Arabidopsis thaliana: one gene and its partner. The protein of the gene in region 2 purifies or fractionates together with the protein of the main gene of each other region. This does not show direct contact. Each region holds a gene or a part of one and is shown on either strand. Other genes may lie near its edges.

The links.
Region 1: the proteins of MEE4 (region 2) and AT4G32470 fractionate together in Arabidopsis thaliana (co-fractionation; one large-scale study listed by BioGRID). This does not show direct contact.

Annotation. Positions count from the first base shown.
Region 1 is NC_003075.7:15,662,868-15,680,161, forward strand, and holds AT4G32470 (Cytochrome bd ubiquinol oxidase, 14kDa subunit), read right to left. Parts: upstream 8,383-17,294; 5' UTR 8,229-8,382; coding exon 8,135-8,228; intron 8,024-8,134; coding exon 7,866-8,023; intron 7,252-7,865; coding exon 7,204-7,251; intron 7,154-7,203; coding exon of another isoform or gene 7,153-7,153; intron 6,843-7,152; coding exon 6,774-6,842; 3' UTR 6,352-6,773; downstream 1-6,351. Other genes in the region: AT4G32460 (choice-of-anchor C domain protein, putative (Protein of unknown function, DUF642)), read right to left, coding at 169-695, 807-1,304, 1,920-1,992; AT4G32480 (sugar phosphate exchanger, putative (DUF506)), read left to right, coding at 13,621-13,833, 13,938-14,163, 14,485-14,909; ENODL4 (early nodulin-like protein 4), read right to left, coding at 15,944-16,422, 16,503-16,689. UniProt on the Arabidopsis thaliana protein: Component of the ubiquinol-cytochrome c oxidoreductase, a multisubunit transmembrane complex that is part of the mitochondrial electron transport chain which drives oxidative phosphorylation.
Region 2 is NC_003070.9:1,281,044-1,297,370, forward strand, and holds MEE4 (GRIM-19 protein), read right to left. Parts: upstream 10,070-16,327; 5' UTR 9,944-10,069; coding exon 9,729-9,943; intron 9,181-9,728; coding exon 9,109-9,180; intron 9,023-9,108; coding exon 8,878-9,022; 3' UTR 8,778-8,877; downstream 1-8,777. Other genes in the region: YUC3 (YUCCA 3), read left to right, coding at 61-288; HCAR (coenzyme F420 hydrogenase family / dehydrogenase, beta subunit family), read right to left, coding at 1,826-1,916, 2,025-2,119, 2,215-2,279, 2,440-2,497, 2,596-2,665, 2,751-2,830, 2,926-2,953, 3,058-3,119 and 11 more; AT1G04625 (Polynucleotidyl transferase, ribonuclease H-like superfamily protein), read right to left, coding at 6,788-6,877, 7,189-7,745, 8,651-8,777; EMB1687 (ribonuclease P family protein / Rpp14 family protein), read left to right, coding at 10,307-10,762; LIP2 (lipoyltransferase 2), read left to right, coding at 11,498-12,205; AT1G04645 (Plant self-incompatibility protein S1 family), read right to left, coding at 12,810-13,196; AT1G04650 (holliday junction resolvase), read right to left, coding at 13,850-14,732, 14,898-16,327.

The DNA of each region.
Region 1 (17,294 bases), on a different chromosome or scaffold from region 2:
GATTGACCAGAGTAATTTCTTTTTTCTTTGTCAAATAACATTAAGCTTTAAAACAACAACAAAAACAGTGGGCCACTGGGCCTAAAAGCCCAATTTCTCACTAGACGCGAGAAACCCACAGTGACTGTCATCATTCATTGTCCCGTGAATCAACTCGTCGCCGCAAGCTCACGGCCTCCGAGCACTGAGAAGCTTAACGTCGTCGATCACCGGTCCACATAAGCTCGAGAAATCGTCGTTTCTCATCGCGTAAAACGTACTGTAGAACATAACTCTAGTCCGACTCGAGACAGCGACGAATCTCAATGACGATCGCTTGAATCCTCCTTTCCCTTTCGATTCATACGGGACCTTGATCGTGTCTTTTCCGGCGAAAGCTTCGACGATCATTGATCCGGCGCAAGCGTTGCTAGCATCTCCGACAGAGAAGGATAGGACGTAGGTTTTTCCAGGGATAGTGCGGACAACTTGTGCGACGGCGCTTTCTTTCCCGGCGACGAGTTCGACGGCGCGACGGCCTTGAGGAACGGAGAAATGATCGGAATCTATGTATTTGACAGCTTTAAGAGACTCGACCATCCAACCAGGTAACGGAGAGTGATCGTCGATGGAGTTTGGTGGAATCAAAACACCAGATGATATGTTTGGTAAAACCCAAGGACCTTCTTCGAATCCTCCGTTCTTTAGAATGTTCTCTGCAAAACAAAAATAAACCCAACATGTTTTAGATATTTCCGTATTTGCCCCATTAAGAATATTTTTATTCAAACGAGACCCCAAATTAAGTATAAGAAAAGAGCACTCACTATTGGTGGGACGAGGAGGGAAAAGGGCTCGCATAGCAACACCATCAATGAGAGGTCCACAAGCAGGATCTTCCTCAACACCTGGATTATGTATCACTATATCTGCATAGTCACTTTGGGCCTTAAAAGCCCACGAATACAAATCCCAACCTGAGCTACTATACACTGTTTGTATCGGCATCACTGCATGGTGAGGAGCCACGGAAACGTTTAACCGCTCGTCTTGTGCGCATGTTCGAGCAGCACTGAACGTTATCGAATAGTACGACCCTTTCTTAACGCTGATTTTTTGTTTGATTGAGGCTTCGTTGCCTAGACGTACTGCGAATGCGCCTTTAGGCACGACAAGGATCATGTCGCCTTGTTTGTGTCCTGAGGGAATGTACTCGACAAAGCCTGAGAGTTCCCAGTTTGGGATTGCTGTTATGTTGATAACTTGTGTTCCTTTCATGTCCGAATGTCGTGGACCGAGTTCGAAGTCACCGTTTGGTAGTAGTCCTGTTTTGTTTTGTTAATGTAATCAAGTTACAAAAACAAAACTAGTTAGGGATTTGTTGTGAAATTTGATTTAAACGATAGTGATTTGCTGACAATAATATTTGAACTTCAACTGCATCTAGTCACCTAAAATTGACAGTGATTCTAGGTAAACAAATTCTCAATCTTGCTATTTTAGATCTGTATATGAATAAACAAGTGATCAGTGTATAATAATTGAATAAAAAGTTGGAAGTATGAAATATTTAAATGATTAAAAAGGTTAGTTACAGATGGGAAGGTGAGGGTAATTTAGTGACACATTTATTGAAAACGATTGACTAAACACCATGTGCATTTACAGATCTGTCTCGGCGTAGTGTTCAACATGTTCGTCAAGCTAATAGGTCATTCTTCATGATTTGTGGTGCAATATAAATGAATTATTTTGACGACAAACAAAATTTTGGACACACAAGTTATAAGAAGCTGTACAAATTTTTATAACACGAATTTCTTAAATACTAGAATATTGTTGGAACTCACTACGAGTTTCTTTTGTTGGTTTGGCTAGTATATAGACAAGATACGAAAATGCGAGATTTCTACGGAAAAGATAAAGAACGAGGGATTTACCATCATTGAAGCAAAAGGCAACGTAGAAGAACGAGTGAAGGAGAAGAAGCACTATCACTCCCATCTCTTTCATTTCTTTCGAATTTTTCTACCCCAAATTGATATGTTGTATAAAATTTTAAACTTTCAAAAAATAAAATAAGGATTGGAGAAGAGTGAGCGAGAGAAGGAATGTTTAGTGGGAGTGGAATAGAACGAGGAGGAGAGAGAGCTCTTATATGCAAAATTGTGCAAGAAAGGCCCCTTTCCTTTGTCTAAATTATGACTTTGCCACTAGTGACTTATGTCGGAACAACATTGGTCCGGTTTTTTTATTCATCGTTCCTTGGAAATGGGTCACTTTTTCTTAGAAGGTTTGACTAAATAACACTGTCGATTTTTGGTTTGGTTGAATAAATTCGCAAATTGCCTATATTCCATGGTAATTCTAGTGTTAAGTCGTGATTCCATCATCTATTCGTTTTTTAAGCGTCGTCTAGATTGTATTCATTTAACTTTGAGTAACGATACCTAATGTCATAATTGTTGCATAAAAAGCACTGATATTCGTATTTTCACTACGAGATATCTTTCTTTTTGTTAGATTACCGAAAATAGATTAAAGATGAACAACTACGATATGTATATTACGATTTGGAAAACGATAACTATGTGATTAATTAATGGTAATATAATTGCGGGGGTGAAGAGGACAAAAGCTGTGGGACAATGTGGTCTCTCACATGCCTATTTCACATTGGTTCTCGCATCGCCACAAGTTAAAGTTGCTTATGTTCCGAGTTATCCTATCACAAACACATAACGAATAATATAAATATTATTTATTATCAGAAAACAATTCCGAATCAACCAAACAGTTGCTTCGAAAGCTTGGTCTGTGTGCCAAATCCATAGCAAGGTATATGGGCTCAAGTTTTTTTCATGGGTTTGATCGGTAACTTTCAGTCACATTTGTAACTTAGTCGTTGTAAGAAAGACCAATCAAGCAAATTGTTTTAGCGGTCTATTCAATCAAAGGGGTTTGATAAAATGAGAAAAAGTGTTGATCGAATCATTATTTAAATTTTCGAAAAATAACTCTTACAATATTCTTACGAGAAAAATATAGGTTTTTAGACAAATAACAAGACCAAAAAATATAATTTCATATACTGTTAGAATCGTTAAACGCATCACACATGCCCCAACAATCCCAAGTGTGAAGTATAAATTATAAAACCATGCGGACTCTTTGTTTACTTCAATAGTTTAAAGTTTAAACAAATAATGGTCCGACTTCGATCTAAATTAATTTAACTAGTCTTTTTCCAACTTTTATCATCATGTGCTTTCTTAGATTTAGTCTGCACCTTTGTCGGGAAATAATCATCGATATTCTTAAACCAAACTAAAAAAACCATAGATGAACATGACCAACATAATCACAAACTATCTAAGCATATTGGGACTTTTTTGAAATATTACAATAAAATAACTAACCAACCATTACTATATAAATTAAACGATGAAACATAATTGGCTTTTTTACATTATAGTATACTTATAGTCTTAGATATAAATGTGGTCGGACTTTTAGCATAATGTGAATAAATGCATGTATCAATTACAGAAAATTTTCTCGAGTGTCAAAATTAATTTCTATAGAAGACTATGTCAAATTGTATGGAAAAAAGGAGAGTATGAGAAAATTAAACATAAATAGACAATAAAATACTTTGTAAAGGATTGTTATCCTTCGCTCGTCGTCAATCGTAAATCTGATCCATGAACATATATAATTTAATGTAGAGCAATATATGATATTTAAAATTTAAAGAATAATCGAATTTTGTCTCTGCAGCGTCAGAATTGATGGATCACTGCAAATGCCACCGACTCTCTTAGCGGTGCTTTTATTGCACAAATTATTGTACTAAAAAACATATTGCGTGTGCTTATAAATACATACACATGCATTGTATAAGTATAAATTGTGTATCAAATAATGCATTATTTATCTCTAACATGCAATTGTTGCTAATATGTTATTTTTTGTTTTGACAATTGTATCTAAAATGTTCCATTAAGCAGCTTCCATGTCTAATATGTGTGTCTAGAGTTAATGGCCAAGTGGTCAATTCTCCCATGCATGTCACCACTACCAGTATATCTAGAATGAAAGTGGTCTAAAATACTAAGAAGAAATTAATTGTTTTTTTGGATAAAATTTGGAAAAGGAAAAATATTAGTAAACACAAAATGTTTATAGGTGTCATGTATGAGTTAAGTAGTCTGAATAAAGTTAGGTTCAGTTAAAAGATTTTAATTGTATGAAGATGGACGTATAACTCTGTGTGTTTTGACTTGGTGGTTAAACCTAAATTTATGATTTTCGGCCATAAAACCGGGGCCACACAGCCATGTAACTTTGGCTTGATGTTAACCCTGGATCCACATTACTATTAAAAAGATTTAGCCATACATGCATGGGAAAGTGGACCACTAAACGACATTTGACTATATATCGTCTTTCTTGATTTGCAAAATTACTAATGTTTAGTTTAGTAGAATTCAAATCTGTAGCCAAACTATTTAATGTAACTTATGAAATCACAACCTTGACTTGTGGTGCCAACGGGCAACGGCAATGTCATATACATCATAGTTGTTTTAGATTATTTTTATATATGTTTAAAACATCAACTATTTATTATACTACAATTATTTAACTACCTATCAAGTTTGAGAGCCAATTGTTATAAATTACAATCTCACATCTGTTATTCAGAACTAATTAATTTACTTGTATGGGAAATTTATTTATATGGTAACAAAAAGAAAGAAAATTGTAAATAGTTTACTCAGGAAAGAGTAGAGAGAATGTTGATAGAAAAAGAGTGATGATAAGAAATTGTTTGCATGGGAGCGAAATAACGGAGAAGACATAGAAGAAAAGGACAAGACAGCCCCAAAAAGATCAAGACTTGCGTCTTGGGGAATGCAGATTAACACTGACTGCTGCCTTTGTGTATGAATGGAGGAGACACGCGATCATCTTTTTCTCCACTGCTCCTTTGCGAGAACGATATGGACTCTTGCCTTGCAACGTCTGCACTTGTCCCCACAAGTCTTTGGTGAATGGCAGGATCTAATACTTTGGTCTAGCTAGGGTAAAGAATCGTGCTTCTCCGCAGACCCTTCGATTGCTGCTTGTCCATGCCCTGGTTTACAGTGTTTGGCGACAAAGGAACAACCTCATCCATAACAACATCGTAGTGATGCCGCTTACAATCTTCAAGGAAGTAGACCGGCTTATCAAAAACTCCATTACTGTTAGGCGGAAGCGAAAGAAGTTCAAGAATCTTATGTCACTTTGGCTCAGCTAAAGAATCCTAATCTTTATTTCTTTTCTCTGAGATTGTGTAGAATCCAAATGATTCCTTGTTTTTTTTATTCTTTTTTGCCAAGGAACACTTACTCTAGGTCTTATTGTAACACCTAAACCTTCATTATAACTTTCTTAGCAAAAACAAAAGACAGCCCCCCAAAAAAAAAAGTAAATATCCAAAACATACACCAATCTTAAAACCAATAATATGAAACTAAGACTGACCCTTTTTATATGTCACATCTGTCTCTGTCAGTAATGAGTATCCACCTTGTGTACAACCTTAATTTTTACTTCCATGGACCATTCAAGATCGCATGTTTTTGTCTACAACACATCTTCTTACTTTCGTAGTTTATCTATTGATTCTCCATTTGGTTGCCACAATGTTCATAGTTTCATATGATGGTTTGTAAAGCCCTCAAAACTAGCCTAGAAGTCGAACCAAAAACATCATTTTAGGGAATATACTTGAATTTGTGTCGAGTCTTAACTCATCTAATCTTCTTGTTACCATCTCATCTCTAAATTCAAATCCATATTTCTAACATTTGTGGTTGGCTAAACGAAAGTGAGCAAAAGAAAAGGATGAGAGAGAGAGGGGACAGAGAGGAAGATGGGTAACTAAAAGAATAGATCTGGCCTGAATCTATTAAAGGCTTGAGTTTCAGTCTACACACTCACATGCAAATGCTCTTTTCTGGATATGAAATATTTATATACATAACATGGGTCTCTCTATCTTATGAATGAATGATTTTACACCCTGTCCGATAAGTTATAATAAGTTAGTTTTTGAAATCCAAGTTTCATTTCCCCGATATGCCCAAAGGATCTCTTTCCATCTTCTTACACTTGCCGGTTTATCTCCTCCACAAGTAGATTTTTTGTGTATTCGTCGATTATGTTTGAACTCAACGTAAGAATTTTCGGTTGCCAAGGCCGATCATATAATAATAGTACGGATGATTCCTTCCTATCTTTTTAACTCAGTGAACTAAGAGACAAAAAGAAAACACACACCCATAGTCCCATACCATAGACTTGGACAGTTCAACGACTGGCTTTATCGGTGCCTAATAAACTCATAATTCTCTCCCATTAATTTCTCACATGAAACTGTCAATGCAAAGGATACATCAACATGGCTCGACCAAATTCCCAAGAATATGGAATCATGGCACTTCTACATTTCAATGCATAAAACTTAAACGATTCTGAGAGACCAATTATAAGAATAAAAGAGCAAACCAGACCTCGAAAATGATAAATCATCGAGACAGACTTGAGTTGCGTCGTCGATTTTATTCAAGCCAGCAAAAGCGATAAAAATGTAACTAGCAACATATCCACTTAGGAAAACTATCACAGATTTATGCTTTTTCAAATAGTAAATAGCTCTGTTCAGAAAGTGAGCACCAAAATATCAATGTTGCAGATTTATGCAGAGAAGCAGCGTTGACCACAAGAAAAGGGGAAAGGAATGCTTATGGGAGTGTGCGCTGGTATAGTGGTAGAGCTCCCAAGGCCTCTCGTTCCTTGCTTTCCCTCTCAACCTGCAAATCACAACATAAAGACAGGGATGATGACAACGATGATGGGCTATCCTTACAGAAAAGTTACACTCAGAACTTTTCAAACATTGCAAACATTTTCTTTATGATGCAATACTTCATGAAATAGGGAAATTGAAGATCTGAAAAAAACATATTGCTTCAAATAACGAAGGAAAAGACATGCATCTCATCAAAGTTTTCATCATTGTCAATGCAGGGAAGCAGATAGGCCCAAAAGAAAGAGGAAACTTTACTTCAAGAAGGAATAGTACGCTTTTATGACACTGAATTGCAGTTTGATTGTTCCTACCCTAGACGCAGATAATGATTTCTATGTTAGTTCATCAAAAAGGAGACTTACAAGAGCAAGCATGTCCTGAAGATAGCCACGGAATGGGGTCTGCACCGCCTGTATATGAAATAACCACATCAAATAAGAAAGTTACAATATCCACAACACTACCTAACAGTTGCAATTTCTGATAGCTTAATCAATTTTGGAAAACTAAAAGAGCCTTATACTTTTAAAGTTGTGAACTTTTGATAGCTTAATTAAGCCAGCAATAATAACAGTTACATTCTTATCTAATAACAACATCAAATAAGAAAGTAACAAAAATCGAAAAGTCTAAACCATAGAGTAATACAATAGTATACATGCAAACACCACTTTACTTTATTGAAAGGGAAAAAAAAAGATGTAACAAGGATTCAACCTTTCATCAATCCAAAATTTCCAATAATCTCAAGCAACAGCAGAACAAACACAGTAACGCAAGAGACAAGCATAGACTATGCATAAACTAGTTTATATACATCTAAGCTCCACAATCACAAAATCCCCAAAGTAAAGTAATATCTTCTGATGAACTAGTTTCGATTTCAATTTGATATCTTAATTTCTTCATTTTTCTAGCATTTAATCAATATTCGAGCTCAAATGCCTGGGTTACCTATCCATATTCTAGATTGATTCTAACAACATCAATTTCATCCAAAGAAATAGAGAATGAAGAATTATACCTGAAGATCCTTGGGGAGGTACTCGTGCTTCATGGAGAGGTCCATGGCACGCTTGAGACGCTGGTTACGAGCATCAACGACCTCCCTGGGCAATCTGTTCATAGCCTCTTTGATGTCCATACTGTAATACTGATCGTACAGATCATCGTACCTCAGACCTAATTAATCATTCAAACCAAACAAAACAAAGCAGATTCAGATTCACTCATGAACATTGACAACAAACTCGGATTTCAGAAATTAGGGTTATGGATCGAGAGAGATCTGACCGTATCTGCGAAGGCGAGTAGATATGGCTTTCATATGCATACGAGCGAGGAAGTTCTTCTTTGGATCGATGAATGCTTTCAGAAGCGACGCCATTTTTCTCTGTCTCTCTCAATTTCAGATTTTCTCTCTTTGTGCCAATGAAAGAGACCAAGCTGCTGTGTCTACAACAACTCCTGACCTGAGAGAGGAAATAATCACATAAGCTCTGCTTCACGTATTTATTTGGGCCTTAAGTGGCCCATCTAAGCTTCACGTATTTTTGACATATATAGGTCACGTACTCACGTAGTAATATTTGGGCCTTAAGTCGCTCAGCTGTAGCGTCATTTAAGGCCCAGTGATAACTTGTATTTAGATTATAAACTAACTTGTCTTAATAATTCACAAGAAGCACCAGTGGTCTAGTGGTAGAATAGTACCCTGCCACGGTACAGACCCGGGTTCGATTCCCGGCTGGTGCAAATTTTTAGTGACCCTTTTGTTTCGTGTTTCACAAATACATGCATTTAACTCTTATTCGATCCTACTTAAAAAAAAAAAATGGGGGAAATTTAAGTTGTAAAATCCACTAAACTCATGTGAATGTTATGTATAGGCAAAGCTAGTTGTATGAATGGTAACTAGATTAATCACAAAATTGATATACCAGTTGTGAAAAAAGAGGGTTTAATTTAATAGCTGGAATGAGAAATGATAATCTTGTTATATAGATGAGGTAAGTTAAACAATTATAATTGTATCTTCATTCTTTACTCTAGACGAATTGGATTCCGGCTAACACCACTACTTGAGAGTTGAAAGGCATGTTTTTGTCTGCTTATGATTAAATTAACTTAAAAAGTGATTAAGTATCGTCTCAAGTTGCAAGTGTAATTTAAGGTTAAAATGTTGTGACTTTAACAAAAATACTCTCAAATCTTGTGTTCCCACTTTCTTAGCAAAGCATTTTAAACAGTTTCTTGTCAATATCTAAACTAACTTTAATTAAGGTTAGGTTAAAGAGATAATCATGCATGTAGTAGGTACTTGATTTAGTTTGATATATTTTTAGTTTGGTGGGATTTTTGATCACGACCCATATCCTAATTGCTATTTTTTAGCCACGAAGTCGTCGTCATCATCCTTATCGTAAAATATGAAGTAGGCCTAAAGTTCAGTCCCATTTAGCTTCATGAGTTCATAATTTTTGTTTTCCAAATAATTGTGTTCCGATAATAACGCACAACTATGAATTGTAAAAGTTTGTTTTGTTTGTTTCAAAAGACAACCATATATAACTCGTCTGACTGAGTGGTTAATGCATGTGGGCATGTATAGTGACTATATGAGCTTGTCTCAATATTTGATGTTTTGAACAGTATAAACCGGTTTTAGCTTAGCACATAATACTCTCTCTGCTAAGCTCACGTTAATTTAATTAGATATATATTTATCAAATCACATAAAATTATATTGTATGGCAGAATTATTCAAGCAAATGCGTATATAAGTTATAAAATTTGGAGTGATGAACTGATGATTAACTTTACTGGACTGAAATGTTTTAAAAATTGTGTAGACTTGGTCTTTCTTTTACACAAAATGTTATAATTCGCTGATAAACAGCTTTCATAGCACATGGTTTTGGCCTCAATGGCAGTTAATTATTCAGTAACTAATTAATATCACGTTTGCCTTCTTTTTAATTGGCCCTTTTTGGCCGTCTCAATTTTTTTTTTAAAATGGAAATTATAGTTTAGTTTAAATTTTGTACTGTCACAAATTGTTGTCATATTGATAGTAGTTATCTTTATTTAAGATTTGATTTTTACACTTTTACACAACATTCCAATATTTCATAAGTGTTTGATAGTGAGGTCCATATATATTACACTGAAAAGTTGTATTTAATTTATATGATGAATGCAAATTGCCTTAATTTATTAGATAAACAACACTTTGTAGATCATTAAGAAATGGAACTTTAGTAGCACTTTAATTGTTTTTGCTTGGACATTAGATTGATTGTGAACTTTGATTTGATTATTGTTGCTTTATAAAAACACAATAAAGTGTCTACAGATAGATATTTAGGATACAATGTTTTAGATTCTTATTTTTAGGATGGGAATATCCCATCAGTCTAAATGCTGGGAGACAAACGAATTTATGAAAAAAAAGTATTCCATATTGATTCCTTCTTATCCCACTCTTCTTCCTGAATAAAGCTCTTAAATTCAAGAACTAAATGTTTAAAAACTACATAAATAATGTGGAATTCTCTGCTATTCCTAGGCGAAATGTGGTGTTTGTTTATAATTTTCCTTTGCTATCCCCAAAGCTTCTAAAGACCCTATCATTTCAATTTTCTTGTCAAAATCACAATTGATCAATACAAGAAATTGTAGTATCTTAATTTGGTCAAGTGTTCTAACATATCTGTAATCAGAACGATCCTTTTCAAAAGTTTTGATAAATTAACGTTTATGTATTATTCAATTTCAACTGCTTGTCTTTTATCAAAAAAAAAAAACATATACATGTTAAAAATAGTAAGATTATAACTAATCTTTCCATTAACATTTCTTTCTTTTTGACTCTTCGGATGCTCTTCTAGCCAGGCTCTAGCCCTCTCTAATAATATAACTGATGACTGTCACAATATAATTGATCATACATTTGAATTAGAGAAATATACCGATTAGCAGCATGATATTTAACCAAATCTGTTGGAGTAAGTTGAATATGACTCAGCAGTTAGCCTAAAAGTTTTTAAGATATATACAACAATAATTAAAGGCGAAAAGGGTGATATAAAATATAGCTGAACAGAGTTTAACATATCTTATACTGGGAAAATCATGTGTATAATTATATATACAAACGTATGGAAACTTGTCGAATGAGTCCGTCTTCTAAAAAAAACAAATCTCCTGCAATTAAAGATGGGTTTTCACTATTGTAACTGTCGTAGAGAAAGAAAAATAATTGATGGTATTGTTGTCTACAACAAGTTTTTTTTTTTTTTTTGTTGTTGTTGTTGTCTACAACAACAAACTCTATTTAATTCAGTTTTAAACTTTTTTTTCAAATAATTTTTGTTTTCTTCTGTCCGTTAATTGATAAACTTTAATTTATGTAAATAAATTAGTTGAAACTTTAATTTTTTTTGTAGTATATATTTTCCATTGCCATCAAAATTCTGTAGTGTATATTAGCGCGAAAGATGAGCATTATATATCAGATTGGTTAGTTAACGTGTCCAATATGCACTCCACTAAGGCACTAATTTAGTTTGTAATTGATGTATCAAGAACATTTTTTAAAAAAAAGATCAAGAACATTATAATAGCATATCCTTGCCACAAACATATATGGGTACATGGACAGCTTTGAACAGCACTGACCTAATTTAATTACACACAAATTTATTTGACTCTCATACTAATTACCAAACGTCGATTTCTGAAATAAATCATTTAAATTTCAAATCTTAATTTTATTTCGTTTTTGTTAACCAAATAGTATAACAAGTACAGTATCAAAAGTTTCAAGTTTCCTTAGAATGACCTAATCACTATTCGATGTACCAACGTATCTACTAAACATAATATGCATGCAATGGCATTATTGCATTTTTTGCACATTTTACAATTTCTTTCTGTTAGTGACTAACAAAATGGTGTAACTGTTTAGTATTTACCTCATCTCAATGATGATCTGGTCCACATGCTGCCACCATGTGACCCTTACTCCAGAATATTCCCAGTCTCCAAAATCCTTCGTGGAGAAAATGCGGAATATTCTACTAAACCGAATCCTTTCATTTTATTTTATTTTTTCCTACTCTTTTCTGATTATATTTAAGATCCGATCAACTTTTCATATGGGCGATCGAGAAAACATCTATTTAATTTGTAGAACTGTAAAAGTGATATAAAACCCATGCATGTGTCCATGGTTTGATAGACATCTGAATATATATCGAAAATGTGATATAATTCTATAACCACATTTGCCAATCCTTCTTACCAAACTAAAACTAAAAGTATGTATACCATTTCATTTTGTTGTAATTTTTGGTATCTGAAAACTGATTATATTTTTTTAACAAACCGATAAACTGATACCGTTAATATTTATATTAGAGCAATTTTTTTTCAAAATATAATCAGATCGAATCAATTGAAATAAGGAAGATCATATTTTCCGGCATATTTTCTTAAAATAAGTTCTAACTTTCAGCTAATTTCCTCCGATCCAATAGTTGTTTTGGTGGCAGGACAAGGAGTCCCCGAGTACGCACGAGCCGGGATAAGGCGTTTAGGACAAAAGAGACACGTGTATGGCTATCTTCCACGTAGATGTCTTTGTCCGCGTCTAATTATTGGCACGTGGGTCCTAGTATCCAAGATCAGGACGATTCTAGCGAGTCGCAAGTGCTTTTCATGATTAATCATATTATTATATACCTTTTTTCATGATCAATACGCATCTTCTTTAACGAAAATTAAATAAAAACAAGCAACAGAAAAAGTTTCTTAATCCTGTGGACGATCGATTCAACCATACAAAATAAATTCTATGTCAAGGAACATAAACATTTTTTTTTTTGCATGAAACCGGTTAAATCATCAAGAAAAATATGAGAACTTGTTTCTTAAATGGTATATACCGTCCTTGAGTTTCATTTAAATTTTTTGTGATGGATATTGTAAAAAGTAGTTTGTAAGCTTGCTAATAATGCATCCAAAAAGGATATGTGACATGATTAACAAAATTTGATACAATTGATTTGTGATAATGAAAACAAAAATACAACTAAAAGCTCCATAAACCTTGCCTTAAGATAATGACAACGAAAATAAAAGCTAGTTTACTGTCTCGGTTGATTGGTTGATCCCAAGTTCTCCTTTATCTTAGAGCAACCATACCACTAGACAAACGAGAATTAATTTTTTTACTAAAAATGGTTCAAAAAAGGTTTATTTAGTGGCTCTAATTGTTTCGTTAATCTAAACTATACACGCTTTATCTAGTTTTCAGATAATCTTATTTCAAATTAAGAATTAAGAAAATAGTATAGAGATAAATCTAATTGTTAAAAATGGATTATAGTACATACTAATTATTTGTTAAAAAAAAAGCATCGAGTATATCCGAATCTGTGGTCCGAAGTTGGGACAAGCTGACATAAGATCTAGCTGTCTTTAGCCATCAGATCCGACTTAGTTCCCAATCATATACTGACACGTCATCTTCTTCCAAACTCAAAACAGAGCATCGAAGCACTCTTTCGCGGCGCCTTGTATCTGTTTTTTCTCCCACCTCTCAGGCGGGTCCCTAACCCCTTATCCGGGTCTTACTTAAGCCTTCAATTTTTCTGACTATATATATCCCTTCCACTTATTTCTATTTTCTTCATCGAAACAAAAAATAATTAAGAGAGAAAAAAACAAAAAACATTTTCCATCTCTCTCTCTCTCTCTCTCGCCTGCTTCAAGAAATGGATCGGCAAAGTTCCGATGACATCATGAAATTTCTCGACGGCATGGCTAGCTCCGACGATGTTCTTTTTGGCTTCCTCGACGAAGGAAACCACTCACCGGAGGATTATAACTTCGCCGCCGGCGACGAATCCGAAGTTGACAACGATACCACCGATTGTAATTCAGAAGAGAACAGAAAATTTTGGCAAGAACACGAACAACTTCTCCAGGTATATTTTTATTTTTAACTCTAAAGAAACTATTATTCTCTTTGTTTTCTTTGTGGGGTCTTATAAGTTAATTTTCTTTTTGGACCAAATCTTGAAATGTGTAGGCGACACTGTATAGGACAAGTTCAATTGAGACAAAGATAAGACAAGCAACTAAGGAAGCGTTGAAAGTAGTTAGATCAAAGGGTTTGGTATGTGTCTGCCGGAGACCGGTTACCGACGGTTGTCGTAGCTGTTTACGCGGCGAAGTATCTAGCCTCCTCCGAGAAGCTGGCTATGATTGCGTCATTTCCAAATCTAAGTGGAGAAGCTCTCATGAGATCCCTGCAGGTAATAAATCAAACCCAATTTTACTCTTATCTTTAAATTCCTAGTATTCTTATTTTCCTAATTATGGAAGGTGATTTGTGATTCTTTTATGGATTAGTATTGTTTATGAAGATTCCGTATGAATTTAGACATGTTTTGAAACTTTCACGTATCTTTATCAATAACATTACTAATTAAGAAACCACATCAACGGAATTATCTATATATTCTATATAAATAAATAGAATAAATATATCTTGAACGTTTTCGCCCCTAAAACAAGTTGTCATTAACTATAATTAACAATTTGAATTAACCATGACGTTTACTTATCAAATTTAGGTGAGCATGAATACTTGGAGGTCGTGGACAAATCGGTTTCAAAGAAAGGCGAGATCCGGGTGGTGATCGAACTATGTTTTAGGGCGGAGTTTGAGATGGCGAGAGGCAGTGAAGAGTACAAGCGACTCATCGGAATGTTACCGGAAGTGTATGTCGGGAAAACGGAGAGGCTAAAATCATTAATAAAGATATTGTGCACCGCAGCGAAGAAGTGTATGAAAGACAAGAAGATGCACATGGGTCCTTGGAGAAAACACAAATACATGCAGGCTAAATGGTTTGGAACTTGTGAGAGAAAATCTGTGTCGCCAGTATCCGAAACTGAGGAGAATATGTTTCCGGTGGCAAAGCAGAGGGTTTCTATGTTGAATTATGGTCTTTTTGGTGCTGGAATAGGCCGTCCGACCGTTGTAGCGGTTGTGTGAAACATCTATATAGACGTACGAATACGATAAGTTAGGAGGAAATAAAGTGAAATGAGTTTCACTTTGAAATTTTGCATGATATTGTCTCAGTTAGAATTTTGTGTGTCCAAAACAGGGTAATTTCTGGGACTATTATGGACCATGGTATACAAAGCGGTATTTTAATCAAAATAAATAAAAAAATTCTATGGTTAGATAAAATATTGATGAATTCTCCATGTGATTATTGTTTTAAGTCAACAAACGCGGTTTTGCAAGAATCACTTGACCTTTTTGTCTATTTGGCAAGTGAACAAAACGTGAAAAAATCACATAAATAAACATTGGTCGGTAGGCCAGATGTTCATGTAATGGACCAATGCTAACGTCAACATTCATCATATCAATACACTTATTTATGTTTGTCTTGATTTTGATGAGGGAGATCTACCAAAATAAAAGGTGATACTGGTTTTTCAACACATCATACGATAAAATTTTATGTATAGGCAAAAGTGCAGAAATTGATGTCTTCTATCATATATGCGAGTTCTTAGTAGCTATGATGAAATTTTGTGTATGGCCAAAAGTGCATAAATTGATGTATTCTATGATATATGCGAGTTCTTAGTAGCTTTGTGTAAAGAGTGTTCTTCGTAATGATAGTATTACATAGACGACGAGTTCCAATACTCCAACAAAACTTATTAGAACCGGAATAACAAGAGAAAAAAATAATAATTATAATTCGCAATAAAGAAGGTCCAATCCTCAAAAGAATTGTAAAAACTAAGATGATGATGATGATGATTTTTCAACGAATATCATTATCGACCCAAGAATTAATCATATGGAGAAGTTTTGTATGAGCTATGTGAATACTACCAGTACGCATTACCATGATCATAAATTCATAATTAAACACAAACAAGGACTAATACGAGACGGGAGAAATATATAAAGGTACAACAAACATAATAGAAAGGTACATTAATATTAAAACTCAATTGTGGAGAAACTGATACTCTCACAAATTATATGACCAGAGATAAACCCTAAACCATGGAACTTATCATAATCACAAGAACCAAGCCTAGAGAAATCACTCCCGGAGCAACGGAACCGGCCAAATTGCGAACAGCTGCGGCGGGCCCTGGAGCCGGCGCAAGAACTTCTGAATGGGAGGGATCCACTCCCGGAGTAGGCGCTGGCGATGACAAAGCCTTATGGACCGGAATAGGCGCTGGCGATAACAAAGCCTTACGGACCGGAGACGCTGAGGGGGAAGGGGAAGGAGAGGGATGACGAGGAGTGTGGCTGTGGTGTCCGGTAGACATGACCGTTACGGCTAGCTTTTGACCTTTGAGACAGGATCCGGAGTTGCCGCTGACGAAGAAGAATGGGTCTGAGCGGCTAAGTAGGAAGAGAGAGTCACCGTCTGAGAGGGAAGTCAAAGGGTGAGTCGTGTTGCATGTGTTGTACTCTTTTTCACTCACCTCCAACACTGAATCTTTTCCCTTCACGTACTTAAAATCTAGCAAAATCAACAATTGATATAATCATGCATTAATGACACATATCTGTGGCCAAATAGAAGAGAAGAGAGAGACTTACAAAGAGTGTCGTTGACTTGAAACCGGTTTCGGTGAGACCAATGAGAATAATCCTCGGAAGGAGTAAGGACCCAACCATCTCTCCCACCAACATAGAACTTGTGCCCATTTGATAACTCTATACTAAACCCCAAACCCATCAACATCACAATCATCAAGTAAACATCAGTCATTTTGACAAAAACCATCAATATCCGAACCAAAACTTTAATTAACACCAACTTTCTACTCTCTTATAGCTTAACTCTCATTAATTTGGTGTGGTTTGGGTGCTTGCTTGTATGTGTATTTATGGTGAAAGTAGACAAGAGATTTATAGCCGTTGGGTGAAGCGTTTGGCTGTGCATCGATATGTAGAGAAAATGCCAATTAAGTAGAAGCGTTTCGTTCTTGCTCATCTCTTTCTTTTGTTACACGTTTCGACATGCAATAGACTTAACGGCTATCTACACAATATTACTAGTCAGGTCTTTAACTACTCATCATCATTCATCAAGTACAACTTAAAATTTCATTTTTTAAAATTCAAACTTTAATAACGTATTGTCTTATTTTACACTATTAGCAGGAGATCAGGGATGACAATTATGAATTGTTTTTACTTTTTAGAGGTATTATGCAAGTTACATTTCAAATATTTAATAGTCAGTAGTTAGTCACCAAAAGGTTAAATTTGTGCATAAAACATAGCAAACATAAAGTGTATATGCAATAAATGAAAAGTTTATCGTGATTGTAATTTTTTTTTTTTTTTAAGATTCCGATATCCAAAAATGTTATTCTAGCAACAAAT
Region 2 (16,327 bases):
TAGGTCAATAAATTCGTATGTGTACTAATTTGGTGTGTTGAATTTTAATTGTATTAACAGGACAACGACTTCTTCTCCGATGATGGGATACCAAAAAACCCGTTTCCAAACGGATGGAAAGGAGAGGCGGGATTGTATGCGGTAGGGTTCACGAGAAAAGGATTGTTTGGTGCGTCGCTTGATGCTATGAGTGTGGCTCATGATATTGCTAATAGGTGGAAAGAAGAGTCTAAGCAACAGAAGAAAACTGCTGCTGCTCGTCATCGTCGTTGTATTTCACATTTCTAATCATCATTATCAAATTTAGGGAAAAAAATATTCAAAAAAAGAAGAAGATAATTAAGCCCTCTCCTCGGAAGAAAATACCCCCAAAAAAAAGAGAATTGTGAAAAGAAAAAAATAATAGGGGGATTTTTCTTTGTTTTTTTAGGAAGATGTGGCTTTTTTATGTATTTTTATTTTAAGAGTGCTTTATTTTGTTGTTGTATTTTTTTTAAATCTTCATTTTAGATTTTGAACTCTTGTAAGAAGTTTTGCTTAATCTAATATGACAAATATATTTTACGGTTTTGTAATTCTTTTCTCAACGATGCATGTTGTGTTATCTCTATGATGATGTTGTTGATCAGGAAAAGAAACAACTAATTTCATGCTGTTTCATTATTGGAAGAATACTCTCACAAGTTAGAGCTGTTATTTAACTGATTAAGGAATTATTAGCCATTTTGTAATCATTATATTTGGCAAATGATTGATTTACACATGATTGTCTTGGACAGTCCATATTAAAGTTGTTTCATGGATTACAACCTCCAGGGAACACAAGTTGAAAATACTGAAACATGCATTTCTGTAGGATATGCAAAATCCATTAGGGATGAACAATGTATCTAATTTGAAACACAGATGGATAATAAATATAACATTATACAACTTTCTCAGAAAAACTTGAGTGAAATCATATATTATATATGATGTTGGATCTAGTTATAAATATATATATACTGAAACAGATACAGATACAGATCCAAAATATGCAATACGTAAATGAATTCTCTAACATTGTTATATGTCAAATTGCAACTCAAAATTAATTCAAGGTACCAAAGTAAGCTTTATTTCACTTAAATATATTATTAGAAAAAACGTTTACATGCTCTGTATTAGGACAATGCCTCTGGTGAGAAAAAATCAACTATGGTGCAAAAGAGCAGAGACATTTATGAGTTTCACTTGAGGTCTGAGAGTCTCTGCAGCAAAGTCATTGAACGAGCAGAGCAGAGACTTGACTAACAAAAAGACAAAAAAAGAAAAAAAGAGAGAGAGTAAAATTTGAAGTTTCCAATGTGTGAAATATGGTGATGAGTAAGTTAGTGAGTGAGTGAGTGAGTGAGCGAGCGAGTGAAGCTTAACCATGGTTCCTTCTTCTTTGTCCAAGCAAAAAAAAGACATTAAAAGCTAATTCCCCCCAACTGTGTAAATGTCTGGTTCCCATCCTCTTAAAACAGTTATTCATGTTCTCATGCAAAACCCTGCAACCTTTTACTCGGACATCACCTTAACCTAAAGATATGGAGGAAGGAACCCACATGGGTTGATTTGGATTCAGCCGCTGATTTAGACTGTTTCTTATTCTCTGTTCTCTGCCAAAAAACACCAAACCGACCCATCTTTTCTTGCCGGTGTCTTACCAAATTCACGAGGGAAATAGTTTTGGATATTACTAACATACTACAAGTTGAGAAACAGTAGGACCAATGTACATTTACTCACTTGTAGGATGAAATATACATTTGGAAACTTACATGAGAAAGGCCTAAAATGTTCATTTCTTGGAGAGCATTTTATCTATTTGGCCGTTTTTGTTGTACATTTCCACTATCTTTTTGGCATATGATGGCATGTGGGTGTTTGCTCTGTAGATGGTAATGCAGCTTTGGTCATTAGAGAACGATCCAATAGTATAGAAATACACAGTTGATCGCAATAAACTTTTATCTCTAGGAGTGTGTTTCAGATCTTACCTTTGCTTTCCCCATTTGCGGTTTACGTACAAATAGTTTCTGATGGTATGGTAGTCCAACGAGTACCGAGCAAATTCTAGACCCTTAGGACCAACCTGAAGCAAGAATGGTTTTGCAAGTTAAGAAACTCTTTGACTTTTTATGCAATGAGCTTGTTTCTCGGTTTGTGTTCATAAGGAAATAATCTTACCAAATTTAGGATGAACGCAATAATGTTTCCAACAAATAGTGGCGCTGGCTGAGCAGGACCTTGACCTAAGAAATTATAGACTAGTTAGAAGACTTTAGCACAATGTTAGTTGCATGCATTTGCTGAGAACTTTCTTTTTGGCATCTAGCTTTGCTTGAAACTGAATGTCTTTAAGCAGAGACGATTCAAGAAACAAAAGAGTTTCGAATACGTTTGAAAACATACCAAACTTAGCAGCATCGTCTGCCTTAACAGTTTCTGTCACAAAAGGTCGCCGATCACCCTGAAACAACAACAAAAGGTGTGTTTGTTCATGTTATTTGTTAAGTGGACTCTTAAAGTCTTAAATATAACAACAAATATAAATGTTAGAAACTTTACGCTGCTGATTGTTGGAGTGATCTCCAAAAGGTTTTCTACCAAGCTGAGCATTTCTTTCCCACGTTCATTTCTGTGGTTTAAGGCATAAACAAAACTAATTTTATCCAACCACGAGAACCTATATGGTCCATGTCAAAATACGTAGAAATATTGACCTCACTGTAATATACTGTGGATGGTCAGTCATGTTCAGACCTGAATACTTCGGAACACCCATGTAACCGATAACCAAATCCTAGATAAACAAGCTCATACATATCAGGAAATGTTTGAAATTGGCAGAATCAAAATTAAGTGAAAAGACATCTTAATTGCTAGAGAAACACTCACCGCTAATGCATTTGTGTAATCAAAGCAGCTGCAGAATAAAAAAGATAGGGTTTGTAATTGTAGACAAGTTTTAAAAATTTCCGACAGGTTATCTATTTCAAGGTATAGAGACAATGCAGAGACTTGTATTACCTGTAACACGATGGAGCTATGACATCTACTAAATCGTTTGCAGGTAGAGAGAAATAGGGAACCTGCTTTAGCCAAAAAAAGTTTTTTAAAAACGGCTTTCAGCTGCAATTGCAGAGCAACACAGTATTTTAAGCGAATTTACCTCTTCAATGTGTCCATCCAAGTGTTTGAGTTGGACCTATAAGAGAAATTGAACAAGATTGGCATCACCAAAGAAAATGCACAGATAAGTGATGGTTTTGTATTAATGCTAACCTTGTAATCTTGCATAAATTCATAATGGAGAACAGTCTCTGGCTCTTTACTAGCTGCTTTCAGAAACTTGTCTAGTCCATCTCGTGTTCCGTTGTCCACTATTAATCAAAGATGTTCTTTTTACTTGTTTAAAAATGTATAAGCATTTCTAGACCTAAGCATACAAGACTCCGAAATAACATATACAACATGGAATGTTCAAAAGTACAACACAAGAACTAGTTGTGAAAGTTCTGGAGAAAAAACAAATCTAGATAGGATGAGGAAAATACCACAATTGGTGCCTAGTACATACAACTTTTCCAGATTCAGATGCTGCTCCACTGATCTCAATGCTGCAGTATAAGAAATCACTCTGCATTACAATACTATGAGAGTCACGATATGGAGAAACTTGAAATATACGTCCACAAAAAAGTATGTTGAGCCCATACCTTGCACTTGGCAACCCACACCGCAAAACAGAAGACGCTTCACTCCGGAAGCCTGTTACAATACAAATTCTAAGTTCATGTGAAATGGATTCAGTGATTGAAAACACAAACAAGAAATAAGGGTTTGGCAAATAACCTCGATTAATTCAAGAGTATTCAGATTAGGAGACAGAGTTGGCTTGACACCTCTTGCAGCCAAAACTTCTTCAGGTGTCCTTAGAATGAAAAGAAATGAAACATCAATACGCTTCTATATCCAGAGTAACAGCAAAATATGGATCCACATCTAAAAAATGGCGACTTGAAGAAGAATGGACTCAAAATAAACCACATTAGGAAGGTGGAAAACCTGGCTAATACTGGTCTTGGAGATAATCTGTCTTCAGGATCACTGTAATATTTCAATAAATCAGTTACATGGATAGATGGAAAAATCTACAGCATGGTCGATAAATGTAAGCCTAGTCCATTTCTGAAATTCAACAGTAGTTTTACCTCTGCACACAAACGACAGCTTCAACCATATTAGATTTCAGCATCTCAATGGCTATGGTTGTGACAATTCCAGTCCACTGAGCTCCTGCAACCGAAAATAGAATGAAAAGTAAACAACAAAGCTAAGCTAAATTCATCTTGAACGAGACACAAAAGTGCCCTAGCTTAGATTGAGCCAGGAAAAGAAGTTAGTAGAAAATGTGGAACAGTGGAAGGGAAGTGTCTATTTACCTTCGACAGGCTTCAACTTACGAGCATAGAGCTGCTCTTGATGCACCCCAAAATATGTATCTTGTAAGGAATCTGCTTTCCTTCCTCTACCATGCACAACAGGTTCCAAGCTCTGCACAAGAACTTAAAATATTAACAAAATAAGAATCTTAGCCCATCAATTAAAAAGAGTATCAAATCTTATCCATTTATATGGACATTACCTCAATCCTTGACATTCCATCTCCAAGAAATGCACATGCCTCCTTCACATGGGCAATGTAGTAGGTGTCGCATAGCCCGCACTGACTGCAAACCCATCAGAACACCAAGGATCTTGATAAGAATGAGACAAAAATAGTGAGGTAAACAAACAAACAAACAAAAAAGAAAGAAAAAACCTGCAATGGTCTTTAGCTGGATAGGTTCCTCCGGGTGGGATAGGTCTGGACTTTTCTCTCCAGTCTTCTCTTAATTTAACCTTCTTTTTTGGCTCTAGATTCATATCTGCAATTAAAGCCATAAGAGAAGGGTTCATGCAGGCTTCAGAGAGAAGATAAAAACACACAAGACAAAGATCGATGCTATACGAAACAAAAATCTGTTCCGAAATTCTGATGCTTTCAAACAGAATTGACATTATGCAGTAATACATACTAAGTTAACACAAGATTTCTATCTTCAAACTCGATAGTGACAGCTGTGGAAGACCAAATCAAGCATTCGACAAACATTACCACTATGTTCGAAAAGAAAACTCCGAATCTTAGATAAAATTTCATCCCTTTAACGAATTTCAGGGATCGGTTACACTGAAATTTTGTATAAGACGGGTCTTTTAAAAAACTGAAGAATCAACGACGTGTGTAAAACAGAGTGCTATAAAGAGAAGACGTGGCAGAAATAAATTGAGCACCTTTGGAACGCGAAGAAGAAGAGTTAACGACGGAGAAGACTGGAGGAAGGAGAGAGAGCCTGGAGGTGACGACAGTAATCATGGTTGCCCAGCCAGAGAAGAAGAGAAGAAGAGAAGAAGAGAAGAGAGTAGAGAGAGAGAAAAGAAGATATTTTTTTGCTTTTGAACTTGGATATCTTTTAGGAACCAAACTTGATAACCAATTCTTAACCGGACTGAATGGTTTTGGTTCGTAAGAGCTCTTTCACGGGCTTTCTCCATTTTTTTATTATTAAAATTTTTAAAAAGTTATAAGAGAGTTTTAATTTTTTTTCATATTCTAATGGTAAGCTCTCTTATAAGAGTTTTCTGAAAAATAAAATAAAATTTAAAATAATTATATTTCATATAACTTAATAACTATTGTAAATCAGAAAATATTAAACATATATTATTTTGAAACATTTTAAGAAAGATATGAAAATAAAAACACGGAATAACGATAAGTTCTGTCGATTGTTGCAAAATTTAAAGATTGAAAATAAGAACAAATTGTTTTAAAGAATAACAAGATTGTCGATTAAATCGGTTTTAATTTAAGGACTAAAGTGATAATTTGTATAAAGTATAAGCTCTGATATGATTATAAGTGACTCTATTGCTATATATCTGAAATTCATCTTCTTGTTTCTGTCTCCTTAACTGAATCCATAATGTGTTTATATAGTTATTCATCATATGTTCACAGAATTCTGTGTTTCTTTCATGTGCTAATTGGTACAATGTTAGTTTAATTTTAAGAGTTAAAAATATTTGTACACAAATTAAAGTTTTCACATAATAGTTTTCAGTCTCATATATTGCAACAAGTCTCTATGCAAGCTAACACAAAGGCAGTCTTCCTATGCAAGCTCTTTAGCACATCATTCAGATTATCTGATCGAACTACATACATGGCCACTAACACATAGTCACATACTAACCATCTCCTAACTTGTATTGGTTAAAACGCTCAATTTATAACACCACAACATCGACAAGAAATCGAGAGTAACAACTAAAACATGCTTCCACGACTCTCTATGATTCTACAAATAAACAACAGAGACTACAATAGCATTACTCTAGTTACAAGCAGAACCTAGACAACATAACAAAAGCCAATTCTTGATTCAGAACAAGGAATGATGACTAACTCAAAATGATTGTCAAAGAAACCCATTTCAATACTCTAAAATTGGAAAGCATCAATATAGCAAATGATCATAAGTGGCTGATACAAGGTCCAAAGCATGGATTACGAGAAGAAAACAAAAAATCCACCTTCTTCTTCTTCTTTTGTCTTTTTAGCCTCTGTTTGTTTCTGTTCCTCTCTTACAAAAAGAACTCACCGATCACGAGAACGTCAAAGCTCGATGATCACCATCCATTTTCACCACCGTCAGAACCGTCGGAACTGTAACTCGGTGATCACACCATCAATGATCTCGCCACCGTTTGTCTCTCTGTTTTCTTGCGTTTCACGATCTCTCTAGCAAATCATGGCGGATCTCACCGAGAGTCCCAAGTATTGACGCAAACCACGCGCCGTTGTCACGAGACTCAGGTATGTTGCTTCTCGCTTAAATTCCTATTTGATCTCTTGGAACCTTGGATTTTTAATATTTAGTTTCTGCACAAAAAAGGTCTCTTTGAATTAGGTCAATCAATATTTAGTTTTCTAACCGCAATTTCATCGGAGGAACTAGGGTTTGATCTTGTAGTTTTTTTTTTTTTCCTCAAACATCAGCTTTATTAATAATTTGCTGTAGCAAAGTCGCGATGTAAAAAATCAGTTATTACAAACGGGATATAGTTATAGCAATAAAACTGAGTGTTCAAAGGAAGTTGTTGTTTTGCCAGAGCATCTGCAGCCATGTTTGAAAATCGCCTTGTCCAAGTAAACTTGCATTCTTCAAATTTTGATCTCCAAGCGCTTATATCTCTTATCCAATTAAAAACTGCAAAATTTGAAGACCGACCATTGACAATCTCTGAGACTTCTTTATTGTCACCTTCAAAGTAAATTTTCCTATAGCCCCTACTCCAACAATGTTGCATGGCCATGACTAAAGCTTGGAGTTCACTTTCCATCGGATTGGTAGTAATAGAGCCTATAGCATGAGCTGCACCTAGAAAGGTTCCTCGATCATCCCGTAAGAGCCAACCCGCTTTACTCGGAGCGTTGCTGTGGTAAGTGCCGTCATAGTTGCATTTCGTCCAACCAATAGGGGGTGTTGTCCAGAGATTAGCTGTTGGTTCTTGTGACGTTACTCTGTCAGGTTTTGATGATAAACGGTGGGTGTACTCTTCTGCATCTTGCCATTCTTTGGCGTCTTGTCTTGCATATCGGAGAGAAGCTTCCCATGGAATGATCTTGTAGTTTAGTTTTACAAAATTGACCTAAAATTGGTGGATAATGTTACGACAGAGCTACACTAGGACTTTGGAATGGGCTTTGCTGTATGAGGCCTTCGTTACACTAGGACTTTCTTCATTCTAACTTTTTTTCTTCTTTTCTTTAAAAATTATTTTAACCAAAACTAAAACTTTCACTAAAACATTTAAATAAATAATTTTTTAAAGGTTTTTTATAAATACTAAATTAATATGACGTTGTGAAATCTAACCGGATTTTTGATCCCGCCATTTAACCGTGGTCATTAGCGATTCCATAAATCCAACATATTTTTCACATCTTCATGTATATTTAGCATTTATTTTTTGTTTTCTTTTCTTAAAAGTTTTTCAAATTTTTTTTGATTTTTTTAAAAGTTTTAATAAATACTAAATTAATATAACGTTGTGAAATCTAACCAGATTTTGGATCCCGCCATTTAACCGTGGTCATTAGCGATTCCACAAATCCAACATGTTTTTCACATCTTCATGTATATTTAGCATTTAATTATTTTTATTTTATTTTTTTAAAAATGTTTTCAACTCTCTTTTTTTTTCCTTTTTCTTTTTTTTAAAAGATTTTATAAATACTAAATTAATATGACGTTGTGAAATCTAACCGGATTTTGGATCCCGCCATTTAACCATGGTCATTAACGATTTCACAAATCTAACATATTTTTCTCATTTTCATGTACTATATTTAGCATTTAATTTTATTTATTTTCTGAAAAGGTTTTACTCTTTTTTTCATTTTCAAGAACTCTTGTTTTCAAAATTTTATTGTTTTGGATATTAAATTCACATATAATTATATATGATTTGGTTCGATTTCACTCGGTAAGCTTTTTCGAATATTTTTCACCTGGAGCTGTCAAATAAGCCAATTTCTTGCAGCTTGCTGATGAATCATGAAACTGTTTTTGCCTCATATTACGATTGAAACACTTAAGAGAAAACCAATACAAGAAGAATACTGTCTGTTGAATCATTCTCTTATTACCCGAAGAAAAAAAGATATAACAAGAACATATCAATCCTCAGCGAAACATCATTCATCATCATCATATGCATTTGAGAGAAACTAGGAAATCACCACACATCAGGACGGAGTTCCCCAGTAGCCGGAGGCATCCAGCGACCAGAATTGTACACATTCTCGCCAACTTTCCATCCCGGAACATCTTTCATTACATCAGCCTCATATTCCAGATACTTTTTCCACTCAGACACAAACCTAGAATGCAAAACGGGGATTGAAACAAGATTGCTATCTGAAGGTTGCTGCAGGCACATTGACTTAAATTTGAGAATATGGTTTACCTTTCATCTTCTTCTGCTTGAAGAATGGGAAGTATTGTTCTACGAGCAGCATATTTCTCTTCCTTCAATGCCCTAAACATCACATCAATCTTGATAAGAGCATTAATCTTGATACTTACTGATATCAAATCAGACTTGTTTAGGACCATTGTAAATGCATAAGAAGTTAATGATCAAGCCAGATATAATACTAAAACAATCTATCTACATAGAAACAGTATCCCGATAACTACTATCAAAACATGCAACTAGATAATTGCTTTCATCATAACAGATTCTCACATCTTTGCAATTGTGGCTTTAAGAGTTTACAAATTGTTGACGAACTTTATATTCGTTTAAGGCTAAACTCATGCTGATTAAGCTTCAACCAAAATGTCGGGGAATACTAATAACAGAATACATAACAGTGATTCAACAAGCCTATGTTTCCATAGGTTAATAATATTAACCAATTCCTACGATAAACATACTCAAGTTTCAACAATTATTAACCAAAATGTATCCTTCACTACATTACTATGGTCATCAATCACTCCACAACACTAATTTTACCAAGGCGATCTCGAATTTTAGAGGAAAAATTGAAATGTGAACGAGCTATTACAAGTCGTTCTTACCTGCGGATTTTGTTTCCCTGGCCGACCTGGTACATTCCCCAAGCAAAGGCACCAGAAACGGCAAGGAACATGGCCATTGCACTAGGACCCGTATTGGATATCCGGCGGGCATATCGGACCGGTGCGAACCCACCCGGTGGCGGACCATCCTGAAGCAGCGGCATATCCTTCACACTCGCCATTCCTGGCTTATTTCTTATCATCGCCTCCGTCATCTTCAACGCTCAATTTCTTCTCGACCAAATTGACTTTTGATCACTGAATCCGATTTGATTTTGCTGAAATCGAGTGTTCTAGGGATTCCGATGAACAACGAAGGGAACGTTGGAGATTAACTAGGCTAGGACCATATAACTAAGCCCATTAGTTAGCAAATCACGGAGTCGTATGAGATGAAATGGGCTATAACTAAGCCCATTTCAGATATGTTCAAAGACCCAAGTCCATAAGTAAGCAAGTCACGTGGAGTCACGTGATTATCTTCTTCTTCTTCTTACATATAAAATGCCCTAACTACATGTTCAGAATATCTTTAGCCGCCGACTTGGTATCATCAAATCGAGGAGATTCGAAGAAGCATGGTGGGATTTAAGAACAGATACATGTTAATGGAAGTTTTTCTGGATCCGGACAAGGATCTTCTCGGAGAAGGAACACCGATCATTCTTACACAATTCAATCTCTCGAAAGCAATCAAAGACAGTATCCTCGTCAATTTCGGCGAGTGTGGTCTAGGTTCGTCTCTCGGTTCCTTCCAAGTGAAATATGTGAATCCAATCACGAAGCTATGCATTGTAAGATCATCAAGAGAAGAACACAGACAAGTTTGGTTAGCAATCACATTGGTCAAAAGCATCGGAAACTGTCCGGTGATCTTAAACTTGCTCGATATTAGCGGTTGCATCAGAGCGTGTAGAGACACAGCCTTGAAGTGCGACAAGGAGAAGTTTGAGCAGTGTAGCAAAAGCTTGTCTGAAGAGGAGATTAGGCAGATGAATACTTCTCTTGAGAAGATCAAACTATTGGAAAACTGAAACTTTTCTAGACCTTTTTTCCTTCGAATTTGACCCCTAAGTTTTGAAATTGTACAATCTTTGTATTTTTCTTAATTCTGAAATACAAAGGGATAAGAAACAGCATCATTCCCTGAAAAGATTGTTTGCGATTTGAATCACTGGGTTTTTATATGTTGGAATTAAAATAAGAGGGTGTGAATTGTTGAGATATGTTCTAGATAAGGCGTAATTCTGTGAAAATTGAAAACTTAAGGGTACAAGTGCAAAGTCGTTGAATTTTGAAGCTTTTAATAAATCCAAAATTTCTAATCTGGAGAGAACCTATCTCTGAGGTCCAAACTCTTCGGTGGAGGAGAAGAACTGAAACGGTAATCTAGCTCTTCAAAGCCTCTTACTTTACCGATTACTTGCTCTTGTACCATGTATACGATCATTTATATGGGTTTTTATCGGTTACGGTAATCCTCCGTGTCTTTTTCTTTGTGTATGCATGTTAAGTGTTCGATAAAATACCTCAAAGACCTGGTACCAAAAACTATTCATAGGGTTTGTATCCTAGCTCCTCAGATTTTTATTCCTAATTTTAGGTTTGCTGCCTTTGGAAATTTTTTGTTGTGTTAGTCATGCTTTTAGACCCCCATCAGTAGTATTAAGTTTGTGTGGAAAAAAAGGTCGTGTTTGGAATCTTCCTATATAACCTAAGTAGTTAGAGATAAAGTGATCAATTATGGAGTCTGTGTTAATGTGCAGGAAATGAGATCCCCTAGAACCTTGGAGGTTTGGAAGCTAGGCACTGTCAACTATTTGAAATCCCTTAAACTGCAGGAGAAATTAGTTTCAGAGAGAAAAGCTCATCAGATTCCAGATACCCTCCTCTCGCTTCAGCATCCACCAACTTATACGCTCGGAAAGCGTAGAACCGATCACAATCTACTTATCCCTGAATCTGAACTTACAAAAATCGGAGCTGAACTTCATTATACTCAAAGAGGAGGAGACATCACCTTCCATGGCCCTCATCAAGCCATCTTATATCCCATCATTTCCTTACGCAGCATTGGTTTTGGTGCTAGGAACTACGTGGAGACATTGGAGCGGTCAATGATCGAGTTTGCTTCGATTTATGGCGTGAAAGCTCGAGCAGGAAACAAATGTGAGACTGGGGTTTGGGTTGGGGATAGGAAGATCGGTGCTATTGGGGTTAGGATATCTTCTGGAATCACTAGTCATGGTTTGGCCTTAAATATAGATCCTGATATGAAGTACTTTGAGCACATTGTGCCTTGTGGGATTGCTGATAAAGAAGTTACATCTTTGCGAAGAGAGACGGATACTCTGCTTCCTTCAGAAGAAGTGATTCATGAACAGTTGGTTTCTTGTTTAGCCAAAGCGTTTTCTTATGATGATGTTGTCTGGAAGGAAGATCCTTCACTCATTTTGGACACCCAAGATAAAGAATAATCCGGTTTGATCCGGTTTTGATTTATTGTCTACAAAAAATGTTATTATTTTTTGACGTGATGTGGATTTCTGATATTGTCTTATTCATTCTCAAATTTTCATTAAAATCAGTCATATGAAAGTATTTCTAAGGAAAACATTTATGCTCTTTACCAAGCCTGCAAGCACCATCAGCTTTGACAGTCCAATTACATAGATAACATACATCTTGATCTCTGAAAGCATCAAATATCTCAAACTGTTTGAATTGCTTTTCCTATTTAACAAAATGAGTTGGGTCAACCCATGAAGCCTAAACTCATTGGTAATGAGTTGTGTTGAATTGGGTTAACCATTTTGACATCCTTAGTGAGAAGAGTATGCAACAACAAACCTTAAGAGAGAAAACCAGTGAAGATAACGAATAATTCTCGGTTTACTCCGGTTTTGTGTCTACCAAAATATGTTTGTTTCTTACTCTAAGCATTCCGATGTCAATGAGTATCTTTAAGAAACAAATCTTTAAATAGTAAGAAATGCATAAATATTCTGTTTATTGATTTTATTGAATTTGAATATATATATATATATATATATATATCTTCATCATCGCAGGAGTACAAACTTACTTCCAAGGAAAACATTTCGCCTTTTTACCGAGCCTGCATGGACCATCAGGTTTTATTTCCCACTGACAGTCATCACATATACCTTGATCTCTCTGAGCATCATATATATCAAACGACTTGAATTGACTGTCCCATTGGAAACTGCAAAAGAACAATGTTGATTTCCAAAGATTTGGTTGAAACTTGAAGTGGTACTCTTGCTTGAAAGGCACCACGTGAATTCCTAGATCGTCTTGCTTGGATTTGCAATGTATGGTAAGAGGTGGACCGCCAATCAAGTTTGTCATCGTGACAACCGTAGCGCGCCAGAACGGTGGGAGGCCCCCATAACCCGAACCAAATAAAAGAAAGAAGAAGAAGCAAACAATAGAAACTTTTTCCATTTTGATGTTTGTATTTATGAATGTGGCTTTTCAGGTTGCTCTTGGAGTTGATTTTATAGTATTCCAAGGGCTCGACGGTTTCTTCACATAGTAACTATCCCATTGACTATTGACCAAACAAACAAAGAAATCAGTGTAAAAGTCATGTGACCAAACAAACATCCAAATCAGTAAAATGAGAATTTAGTGTGGTTTTGACCCAGACAAAAAAAATAAAATAATAATATTAAATCTTAATGGATTATGCGAAATTGATCGTCCAAAAAAACATGGGCTTTGGCCCCACATTTTCTGATGAAATTAAGCAAAATATATTACAAAGAAGTCCCAATTTTATTAATATTTTTACAATAATGTTTTTAAAATATTTTAATGTTACCTTGAGAAAATAATTAAGCCTTTGGCCCCAAAAATCTTATAGTCCGTTGTCGACAACTTAACCTCGTTTGTTCAAAAATTTCGGTGGTAAGAGGTAAATCCGCTACTATTTCAACTTTTTATCATGTTATAAGAGGAAAGTTTGTCAAGTTCCTCTTGTGAAAGTGTATTTGAGAGAAGCGCTTTGTTCTTTCTTAAAGAACATCTTTAATCCCAAACATCTGTTAGCATAAAAGTCTTTTAACAGTGTGTGATAGATAGCCACTGAAGATACTTTAGTCCGAAGCTGCGGTGAGGCTTAACAAATGAGAGACCAAATCTTCAAGACACGAAAACTGATTCGATAAACTCTTTTGAAACTCTTCACTCTCATTTTCATCTGACCTCAATTCGTTTAAACCCTCGTTAATCCTCTTCACTCCATTCTGCAATAACTCCATTCCTCTGCAAATTCCTTCTGGAAGTTTCCTTTTCTTGTTCGGTCGTTTCTCTACTTCCATTGACCTCTGGCTTCTTCCTTCTAGAAGCTTCTGCACTGTTGCCTTAACCTCGGTGCCTTCTTTCGAAAGTAACTCCAGTTCTTCTTCTGAAGGTGTGATTGAAAGAAGCGCTTGTTCTTTCTCCAAAAACATCTTTAATTCCGACATGAACCGCTCTGTTTTCGCTTCTTTTCCAGAAGCTATATCGAAGGCTAGAGCCGCGTCTTCAGGTACGAATCTCCATAGCTGATTACAGCTTGTACGTGCACAGAAGTATCCAAACGCAGTAACCGCGTGGTGTACCAAAGCCCAGTGGCGTTTCCTGAGAAGCATATGGTAGAGTTCCCAAACCGCAATGCTCTTTGGACACTTTTTGGTTTCAGACATCTCGTATTTGCTGAGTCCTGACAAGAAGAGAGCAAGGTTTGGCTTGGACTTACGAAGATGATTATGATGATGATTAGTTTCTGAATTGAATAGCTTTTGAAGCTCTGTTATGACATTATCCATCTCTTGGCAAGTGTATAGCTGTTCGCTTCTTGAGATGATAGATAATGTTTCGCTGAGAATCTCACTGTAACGTTCCTTCGTCGTTTCATCTTTGGAGTTTCTGTACTTTTGAATGAGAGCGACGACAAAGTTCAGAGTTTTGGCATCAATCTCTGATATGCTCATCTTTCTACACGGAAGAAAAACAACAACAGTCAATAATATCCACAACACAAAAATTGAAAATGTACCCTTTCGCTCACACTATTTTCAGTTACTATTATCTGACTTTTGCTATCTCGTGTAATAAAATCCCCAGAGAAGTCTCAAGAATAGATATATTATCATTACTTACAGTATCCGAAGGCAAGCAGATACTGTGAAAACTGGAGCTCCAAGCAGAGTGTATCTGGAGGAATTTGACGGTTTCTCATCGAATTTCTCGATGAAGTTGAAGAAATCTGCAAATATCTGTCTCTTTGCGTCGTTTTTTATTCTGTCTGGAAGAAAATTCAGTGGAAACCCGTCTAACAGCAATGCTAGATATACATCAGGTGCATGGTCAGATCTGCTCTCAGTAGAAATATGTTTGTAAACTTGAACTGTTAAAGATTTGGGGCTATGGGTAAGAAGAAAGCAGATGGACTTTGTAGTTCTTCTGAGAACGGAATCTGGACAAAGAGGTGTTTCTGATGATGGCATTGACATAATGAATGTACAAAGTTGATTAATCATATCGACCACCAAATCGTCAGTGGCATGACGAACCCAGAAGCACCAGAGTTCCATGACTATCTGCCAACACAAGAAGTGAGGATGCAAGAGATTCTGAAGTAGGAATGTTTCAAGCTCTTCCCAGGCAGGAGTTGAAGAGAGTATGATCATAAGGGTTTTGAGAGACAGAAGCAGAGCTGAATACATTGATTCCCAGATTACTATCTTCCCAGAACCATCTGCCATTGGTAGCTGAGAGGAAAGAACTGAAGAGTAAACCTCTTTGTCTGCTAATATGTCGAGAAGCCATTGCAGCTTTGTGGTGATTGCAAGCTTTGCATCTTTGTCAAGCTCGAAAGAATACCTCATGACAGACTGGAACAATACAACTCGGGCCAGGAGCAAATCTCTAGCACTTGTCGCAGATTCAACAGATAAAGACAAGATATCCACCAATGATGTTTTTGTGTGAGAATCATGGCTCTGCTTCTTACAGATTTGGTTTGAGAATTCATCAACGAACAATGAATCAAGAAGTGTGAGCCTGAATTCCTGTGTTAGTTCAGCTGCATTTAACAGTGCACCTAGAAGATCTACAGTTGTTTTCTCCAGAAGATCAGTCATTACTTCACTTGCGGATTTTCCATGAGTTTGTTGGCTCAGTGAAACTTTGAAAGCAGAGATCATCAAGATGCATAGTGCTATATCCTTGGACACCATAGACGCCTGGCTTGGAAACAGCGCCACAACTTTAACAGCATTGATAAGATAAAATTTCACAGGAAGAAAGACCCTTCTGGCTTCCGTTGCAGATATGTTTTCCTTCACCGAGCAAGACCAAGCCTCAGCAGCAAATCTCAGGGAGTCCTTGATCAGTGATATTAGCTTTAAGATAATTTCTCCTACATCTACCTTAGATACCAATGTCTGCTTGTCTAGTTGAAGCAATGTAATCACACCCTTCCAAGATGTATTAAGAATGGCCACAAGATTTCCACCATCTCTTGCAGCAAGCATACCCAATTCACTCAGAGATTTAACTCCCAGCGTAATCATGCTCACCAAATTACC